Drosophila melanogaster: one gene and its partner. Changing the gene in region 1 together with any one later gene gives a genetic interaction. Each region holds a gene or a part of one and is shown in the gene's direction. Other genes may lie near its edges.

Region 1 (4,943 bases):
CTGCCCCCACTGCCTGACGCTTTTCGGCGAGGAGGCCCGGCTGGAGCGGCATCGGGAGCGAAAGCACAACGATGGCCAGTTCCTGTGCCTGCAGTGCGGCAAGAAGTACGCGTCAGCCACGTTTCTTTACCGTCATGTTGCCAGTTGGCACGGCCAGCAGTCGCTGTTCTACTGCGACATGTGCACGGACAACTGCAACGACGTTAAGACCTTTAGCGGGATGCTGGAGCTGCAGGAGCACGCCGAGGAGGTGCATCGCCTGCGTACCCTGAAGTCCACGGCCAGTGATGCAGGTAGGTATTCTGCTTACGAGTAGTTGTGATGTTAATGGCATACCCTGCTTAATAATACTATTCAATCCGATCCCTGCAGACAGCCAGGTTGATGAAATGGAGGATCTTGAGATGCTAGAGGAGAACATTGAGAACATACTGCCCAGCATCGACTGGGACGACGATCTCACCTTTGGCTGGCCCACCGACCTGGACAAGGAGTCGTGCATTGTGAACGCTAAGCCGAGCGTTTTCGTGTGTCCCTTCTGCGCCAACGGATTCCCCGGCAGTCTGAGCCTGGTGCGGCACCTGGAGCAGGTTCACGAACGCAGTGCCCTGGACTGCTGCTACTGTGGCAAGAGCCATGGCAGCCGAGAAGCCCTGCGGTCCCATCTGCAACGTGTTCACATCCTCTTGCGCGGTCATGTGTGCGGTATTTGCCAGGCGGACTTCGCCACTGCTGATCACCTAAAGAAGCACGTTAACAGTCTGCACCTGGACCACCGACCGCATCTGTGTCCCACGTGCGGAAAGAGATTCACCCAGCGGTGCCACCTCACCGATCACATAAAGACGGATCGCGGCCATGGACACGGCACTTACACCTGTGAATTCTGCGTGCGGCCCTTCTTCCGGGCCATCGATCTCGAACGGCATGTGTGTGAGGAACATCCGTAGGGCAGTCAACCTAGCCGGAATCGTAGATACCTGAGCGACATCTCACGTCCAGAACTACGATTAATATATACTTAAGCAATGGATAAATGTAACGTTTTAATAGCGTTAATATTTTGAATTTATATCCTAGTCATCGGAAATGTTTTTCCAAACGAACTTGAATTTAAAATCGTATTTTATTTTTTGCTGTAAAATTAATGCTTATGAGACGATTTACATTTACATCTTAGGAACTATAGACATAAGCGAATAGTTACTTTAATATAGCAAGCAGATGGCTGAAAGACAATGTACTTATATGAATAAAAAAATATCAATACATGAAGTCAGGTTAATAGAAACGGGCACAATTGAAATATTTTCTAAGGAAAGTTTGAAAGAATGAAAGATTGCCTAAAGAAAGTTTACAGATTATTGCTGCGTAGTGTTAACATAATGTAAAATGTCACACTAAAATGAATACTTTGAAAATAACGATGAAATAGTGCAGCTTTATGAGTAATATTTATCATCACCACAACACTGATTAATCAGATAATATACTCCATTTCCACCAATAGACAGATAATAGAATGTAACATATGTATTGTTCATGTTGCTCTATATATATTTAAATTTAAAATCTCAGCGAGCCTCCTGAGCGAGGGTGTGCGTAAGTCGAGATCGCGCTCTCCCAGCGTTAACTGTTAACAGTGAAACCCATCCGCTCCGCTCCAGGCCCCAAGATCGGGAGAGTAATGAGCGGAGCGGTTCGGTTCGGATTGGATGTGAGTGTTGCGGTACAGAGCGGAGAGCGCAATGCTGCGACAGCTGGGTACTGTTACTGTTACTGCAACAGTTACTGCTACTGCTATTGTTATTGGCGACTGTGGTGATAGGGGCGCAGTAACTTGGCCCACACCGACGAGTCGACAGTTTTGAACGGAACTTGCTGGTGCTTGGATCGCAGCTCCGCCGATCTCCGCGAGGCTAACACCACAAACTTAAACGCGCTCAAATATATATCACAAATTATTAAATACAAAACCCCCCATTTGTGCACACATATTTTTTGTTGTTTGTTTTTCGTTTCGTGCTAACCGATTTGTGCCATTGAACTTCGTGTAAAACATAATATTTAGAATTTTCAAGCCGTGTTTCCATAAAGTAAGTGGTGCTTCTCAAAATTTCAACATTTCAACACAAATCAGCAGCGTAAACAAACAAGCCAGCGACCCTCGACTACATCTAACATTTAAACTGAAACTGCTTTTTGTTATTGTTTATATGGTTTTCCACTTCTGCCCCACTAAAGCCGGGCCTTTTAAAAAGCTCTCCACAGCGCACAGCCTTTTGTTATATATATGTTTTTTTTCCCCAATAGCTTTCGAGCAAAACCAGAACACCATTTTATCATTAACAAATGCAAAAAAAAAAAAAACCAAACAAAACAAAAAAGTACAATTGCAATTAACGTTTTTTGATCTGGCTGTTGAGTTATTCCAGTGGCTGTGTGGAAAACCCAGTGAAAATGTTGCGCTTGAATTCCTAAAAACAAAGTCTAAGCCGGGCTTAATCGTTATTCAAATCAAACTACGTCAAATCGCGTGCGAATATAAGATTTGTGAATCACAAATGAAAGTGAACTTGGCTTAAATGTAGTCGCTGCCTTAAACTGCAATATATCAAGTTGTTTATGATCGAGTTATTGCGGATAAATCGTCAATAAAGTTCAATAAACTAATGCTGGCAATGTGTTCAAAGTTCCTGTTTTTTTTTTTTTTTTTTTAATTTATAACATTTTAGAACAAAAATGCCATTTTTAAGAAATAATTTATTTTGAAATGCACATTTGCGGGTTTTCATTAAAAGAAAACACGTTTAATGATAATGTTTGCTCACAAAAGTCACACATTATATATTATGTGATGAATATTAAAATATTATAGTAAACGTTTCTAATTATAACGTATATTGTATGAAACAACTGGAGAACTTTGATATCCTAGAAAGGAAACTATACCTTGAGCAAGTGACACCTTCACTAAACTTAAAAAAGAAAACAATTATTTTAGATATGCCCTAGTTTTTTAAAAACTTGTTCATATTTCCGCCTTCCAAAAGTTGAAATCGGTTAATCTTAGACTCGCATTCCAGACGTCGCCGTTGACCCGATCCCTTTGGGAGCCCTTTGGGAGCAAATCCATAATTTATCTTGTAGAGCTTGTAGAACCCACTGCCCATTGTCCATTGCCCATTGCCCTCCTGTTGGTCCAAGTTTTGTGTTTTCTTGTTTGTTGTTTGCTCTACTGCTCCCCCGTCTACATGGGCCCATGGATGCAGTGGAGTTATTATCATGTCTATATTGTAATTGATTTGCCTGAGCGAATGACCAGACGGGAAGACAAGCTATGGGCCTGTTCCCTGATCTGCCACGCCTCCGCCCGCGCCGCGCCCGCGGTCTTATCATTAACGCTTGAGTCTTCCTTTTGTATTGGAATTCTTGTGCGGGGAGCAATTGCCTGGCGGGAGGCACTCCCTTCGCGTAATTAAGGACCGCCCAAGTGGGGATCGCGATTCCGAGATGATTCCTTTTGGTTCCTCGCCTTCTCCTCCTTGAGATTACTTGATATGATTTGATATCTTCGGGTGACGCACCGGGAAGGAATGCCTCGAAAGTGTGAGAATAAATACAGCTGACACCTGCGCAAACTAAATACAGATCATATGGGTATCGTCTATCGACTATATGATACCTGAGGCATGGATATATGCATATGATAGCCTTATAAGTTTAATATTCCTAAAGAAAGCTTGTAAACAGTGGCTTGATTGCGTTTTTTGAAACTAAATGCTGATCAGATTTCGCCAAAGTTAGCATACCTTTTTTTAGTACAGGGTACTAAAAGCAATCAGTATGAGGAGTAACAAAAGCCTGTCGCTTTCGCAATAAGTACATATTCGCATTCATATATATAATTTAAAAACGTGCTTAATTTTGTAATCTGCCTTTCCCCCTTACCACTACTCCCATCTATCCGTCTCCCTGTGGTCGATCTGTAATATCTGCGCTGACGAAATGCCTCAGTAGCAACAACAACAAAAACAACAACAACTGATAACTGATAACTGACTAGACGCACAAGTTAACCGTTGAATCGGGTTAAAGAGACCTTCGATGTGACAGGTTGTGCAATCACCAGCGGCCCACCCGTCGAACGAACATCCTATAGAGGTTTTAAGAATCTGCATTATATTTTGAATCTTGTTTTCAGTTTGTAAGATCTATTGAAATTCTTTGCAGATAGATTAGTAAATTACTTGATATCTTTTTAATTCCAATTGAAAATTATTCCGAAACTGTTAAGCTAACAGCTGTTACTCCACACAAAGCTTGTGCAGCAGCCGCCAAAAAAAAAAATAAAAACAGAGCAACAACAACAAGACGGCACAGAGGAATGTCAAGATGAATCACACAGGTGTGCGTGACACCTGGCAACAGAGAAAGAGAGAGGGAGGGAGAGCGATGAAAAGAATAACAACGTTTGGTCTGTCATATCAATCGGTATTTGCTTAACTGTTAAAAAGAGCCAAGAAATGTAAGGAAAACAGAAAGGAAAACAATGATAGCTGAATTCCGTGTGCGTGTGTGTGTGTTGATTGCAGCCCACAAATAAACACTTGTGCACCCATTGCACCTAAAACGCAAGTGCAGAAACATACACACAAATTGAAACTCCCGAGGAGTACCGTTACAAGGCGAGCTTAAAGCTATTTTTAACACCATCCGATCTTGCTCTCCTTCCCCACCCCTTTCCACACCCCTCTTACCCATTCTGCTATCTCCTTTCCTGTGTTGTTTTTTGCACCACTTCTCACTTTGCTTTTCTTCGTCTTGCCCTCATACACTGCACGAAACCAGGATCACTTTAAAACGCTTTGTCCGCATATTCCACAGCTTTGTATTAGAGAAATATAATCAATTATGTATATACATATAATGGGCATTAACCC
Region 2 (5,050 bases), on another chromosome or scaffold:
ACGTCAAGGACTATTCTGAGGCGGGCAGAGCTTTGAAGGAGCTGACCGTGAAGGACAGCACGTGGAGTGCCTCGGGACTCTTGGATCGCAGCATCGTTCACAAAATTGCGCAGGAGTGCCACTTGGAGTTCGATCTCATCTGGAATGCGGGACGCCAGGTGACCGCCTCCACAAGCGGTACGGCCGCCACTGGAATGAGCAGCACTTCTGGGATGACGACTACTGATGATGACGACGCCGATGACGAGGAGATCACCGAGGAGCTGCATTAGATGATTCAATTAATAGGCGATGCAGCACCTAGTCACGTCCCAGTTCCGCAGAGCGGATAACAAGTAAATAGGCAAAAGAGTTCCCTTTAAATTGGATAAGCAATGGCTACAATGGAATGTTTCAACCAGCAGATACTAAGTTATGCTAAGATATTAAGTATTAATGATCATAAACGAAAGTATATACAATGACAGAAATCGTGGAAAGCATCTTAAAGTTCTCAATCAAAACGAACAAGTTACGTATTTGTATAACTTGTATTTGTATTTCACAAGACTGCTTAAATTTCTGCTTATATTGTATACAAATCCCTTGCTTGGGCCATTTGGAATTTTATGAATGAACTTCACGATGTACGCAAGCCTAGTAAAAGCTTTCGGTGCTGAAACATACATATGTATATGTATGTAGGTATATGACTTGGATGTGAGTTCAAGTGACCGACGTCACATCAAAGCAAATATAAACAGCGATACGGATTCGGATCGGCGGATCTGCCGGCGCCAGTCGGAAAGCAAAAGAGAGCGGCCATCCGTGAATCACTTGCCCAAAAGCGTCCGCGTCCTCAGCTATGTATGAAATCAGAGGCATTTCCAGGAAGCCAGCGAAACTCGGAACAATCGAAAGAGCAATCAGTTGGCGAACTGATATAAACTAAATCGAAAACGTCACCGACGTCAAGCAATTGGATATTTAGATCCCAAATATAATTACCATATATGGATATGGAATGGTTTAGTTTTATAAATACTGACCCTTAACTGGAACTTGTCACGAAGTAAAATGCGCACAAGGATGAACTGCGGATAGGAGGCTTGTAGAGAAAACCATGTATCACTCGATTATGACATAACTATTTATTATTTATATTTATATCTTCTATCTATATATATCTTATATCATTCTGGGAGCGACCTTTTGCCAAATATCGGAACAGAGATAAACTGATATTCCAAGTAGGCATGGCATGGACCACAGACAACTAACGACTCATGCCCGATTTCCCAGAAGAATGACGCGGCAAAGGCAACAAGACAACAAATCCAAATAGGAGGGGAATCGATGAATGAATGAATTTTCGTTGGCCCCCAAACGACCTTCCACCCGAGCCACCCCCTGTGGCCCACACACAAGGCTGGGGAACTCCGTCGGCTTCCCGCCGATCGACGATCGCTGTGCTCAATGGACGGGTGACTCATACGGACTAGGCCAGTTTCACGACGTCATGCTTAAGGTTGTTATTTGCTTTGCGAGCGAGCGATAAGTGGGCACTGCGGAGAGCGAAAGCTCGCGAGCCGAGTGGCAAACGCCGCCGGCAAACTGGTCCCGAGCAGCCAGTGCCCCTCGAAGTCAGCCGGTTGGTCATGGGGCAGCCGAGTCGGCGAGAGAGCGCCAAGTGGAAAGCTCATGGGAGCCGACTTCGTCATGGCTTTATCACTGTTCGCCGGCGCTGATCATTAGTTCGTCACTCGCCAAGTGGGTCGGATCAGGGCCAGAGCGATCGAAGATCGGCGATCTGGAGTGGAATACGGCGCTACTCTTAACCCGATCGGCGGATCTGTAATCGGTCGATGCAATAACGGTTATTAAACGTTTCCAATCGCAAACTTTCCGCGAAAGATTTCCGCGATTTGCGGCACGTGGAAAGCCTGCCGCTGACTCCACTTGTCCGGTCAGCAGGTGAAATACCCTGACTATCTCGGGTGAATCATCCAGCCAGACGAACACACATCCTAAATCCGTTTCAACCGGTTGCAGGCTACCAATAAACGCAATAATGCGAAAGTGTGATTCCTAGAATATTATGATTAAACAGGGCCAAAGTGAAGTGAATATTCTAGTAGTGCAAAAGGGCGCCAAAAACATAAACAATAAAGTGTAATTAAGTGCACTTACCAAAAATCAAGCTGGTATAATGAAATCTTAGTGAAAATCAAACAATAAGCAAATATAGATTAGATGAATTTATATGCCAACCGAATAATGTCAAAGAAAAGTGAAACGGTAAAGCTACCAAAAGTCTTTAGCTAATAGCTGATATTGCACTTTCGAAGTGGGAGCAGGAACATCCCAGCTTAATGGCCATTCTACAGAATAGCCGCCAGAGCCACAAGCAACTCCCAATCATCAGCCAGACGATTCGCAGTGCTTGGTGCCAACAGAGGCCGATTAATGCCATGCATCAGGATGTCCGGCAAAAAAGCATCGGATCCGGAAACGAGACCAAACTGGAAGCGAAGGAGACGGAAGTTCCCACCAACAGAAGAAGACGCAGAAGGCGTTGCAGCAGTAGCTCCACCAGCGACTCAAGCGCATCCTCATATTCCTCAACAGACTCGGATTCCGGGTCCTCCACCAGCAGCAGTAGCATAAGAAGCCAATTACCCGCCCTCAACTTGCCAGTGCCCCTCCCGCTGGCGACACCCACTCCGCCCGCCGTTTCATCGCCTCACCAGGCGCCATCTCCTCGAAGGAACTCCAGCGACTCCAACCGGAGCGTCTCTCCCGTGGAGGTGCCCGTGGATCCGCACGCTTGGACGCCCGAGGACATTGCCAGCTGGGTGAGATGGGCGACGCGCAAGTTCAAACTGGACCCGGAGCCGGATATCGACAGGTTTCCCAAGGATGCCCAGGAGCTGTGCGATCTGTCTCGCGCGGACTTCTGGGTCTGTGCAGGATCAAGGCGCGGAGGCATGCTCCTGGCGCAGCACTTCGCGATCAGCTTATACCACGCCACCGGACGGGAGACGAGTCCGATGCTCAACGACGACGAACCAAGTGAGTGCCTAAGATAGAGCTTATTTGAAGAGGGATTTCAAATCCTAGCCTATGTCCTCTTATGGCTTAGTCTTTGAATTCCTATTTCTGAAGTGCCAACCCTTCCAGAATCGAGTAAAACTACTTAAACGGAGCCACATTTTTCTCACTGTCCCAAGCTAATCTCGGGCCACATAAATCTGCAGAGTCCAGAGATTGAACTGCTTGGTAATTGGGTTCACGTGCTATTCCCAGCGGAGCGATTGTCCGACTCTCGAATCCTTTGTGGTCAGGCATCAATTGAATCCTTTTGCCTCCGTCGCCGGCCAAATGGCCACTGATTAAGATGCCTTCGTGCTGATACGGCTGTAACTTATGTGCTCCATTGATTGTTTCTCCCACACTTCTCCGGATGTCTTGATAAGGAGGAAAAGTGGCCGAAGGTGCGGGAAATCCCCTTTTAATTACCTTTCGCTCGAGTTGGCCAACTTTCTCCGAGACTCCATTAACGTAAGTCGTTGGGAAAATCTCTGCGCGACAGCAGCAAAGTATGCAACACTTTTCCAGTTATTAACTGGCGATGACTGCCAACGCAAAGGCGATGGGCGTTGGGGGGGGATGGGGGGGGGGCGTGTCAGGGCCTTGTGGGTGGTCGCGTCAAGTGATGAACTTAATAATAAACGATGTAAATATGATAATTTCTCGCAGGATGTGGCATCTAATAATAAAATCAAAATAATCCCACGCCAGCGACAAAAGTCGCCGAGTCAAGTTTCAGCTTGGCGGAAAAAGTGGGCTGAAGGTCGGGTGGTTTGGATGGCTTGGATAGCTGAGATGGGTTGGGTGGTTTGTCCGTGACAACAGCTCTGCGGGTGGTCAGCTTTTGGGCACAGGAAAATATTCATTCGTCGCATCCTTCCTGTGGCAGGAAGAGCAAGTGCAGGGCGGGCAAAGCCCCCTGATTCGGGTCTGGCATATGCTGGTGGATGGGTGTTCCATGGACTACACATACATGCCTTGATCCCGGGAGCAGGCGACGTCGATTTAATTGATTTGTTTTTTATGCCAACCAGGATTACGCGTCGTCGCCGTCACGCAGATTACATTTGTTGTGGGCTACGGTTGTGGCTCCCATGTCTGAGTCACCGCCCCCTTTACAGGGTACAAACTGGATCAAAGCCATTCCCTGTTCACAATGCCACAGCCACCAATAGTACGTACCTTGAGGAACATACCAATGAAACCATTAGTCATATGATTTCCCAAAAACTCGGATATATTTCCCCACGCAAACAGAATACTTTTCTGGTTCCATCATCCATCGGACGCGCCCCTGCCACCTTATAATATATCCAGCCACTCGCAACTGGGTATGCATTAGTCGAAACGCTGCAAAAGAACAAGTTGCTTATCGTGTGCGAAGGGGTGGGTGCTGGTTGAGTGGCTGCACGTGGCCTCTGACTTTGCGACTTCCCTGGCAAATGCCGAAGCGGCATTTACCACCAGCTGCGCAGGTGAGCCGTAATCGTGCCCGGAGCTTCGACTGCTTCGCGGATGCCCATGCTCCCATCCAAGATGCCAGATGCCAGGCATCCGTCCGGTGCTAAGGAGCGAAATCCGGCCAGCGCTTCTGGCTAAAGTTTCAGTCGGCGAATGGCTCTCGTCCTAAACGGTTGACGCGCTCCCGGCATAGACCTTCATTGATGGTCATAGAACAATCCAATCGGGTCAAAGGTCAATCCAACGCAGCATTCAAAGCAAACCTAAACTATAATAGCTAACCAAATAGAAAGAAATTGCTTACAAGCTTACAATTTCTAACTGCAAAGTGTAAAATGCGATTGATTATTTTAAGAAATAATCCAAATGCTGATGTGACTTAATCGAAGATATTTACTAAAGTTTAAAACGGAAATAGTTTAGTGACTTGCACTTGCAATTTCTGAAAAAGACTTTTGCGACCATGAGCGTCAGCGTGGACGTGGGCGTCATGTGGCGCCTCTCGGAGGACTTCAACCGG

The links.
Region 2: of Pvf1 (region 1) and Ets21C, changing one suppresses a phenotype caused by changing the other (phenotypic suppression), as found in Drosophila melanogaster (one study listed by BioGRID).

Annotation. Positions count from the first base shown.
Region 1 is NC_004354.4:18,830,851-18,835,793, forward strand, and holds the start of Pvf1 (PDGF- and VEGF-related factor 1), read left to right. Parts: upstream 1-1,831; 5' UTR 1,832-2,096; intron 2,097-4,943. Other genes in the region: CG7101 (uncharacterized protein), read left to right, coding at 1-293, 373-950.
Region 2 is NT_033779.5:549,159-554,208, reverse strand, and holds the start of Ets21C (Ets at 21C), read left to right. Parts: upstream 1-1,754; 5' UTR 1,755-2,351; coding exon 2,352-3,051; intron 3,052-4,706; exon of another isoform or gene 4,707-4,993; coding exon of another isoform or gene 4,994-5,050. Other genes in the region: rempA (reduced mechanoreceptor potential A), read left to right, coding at 1-272.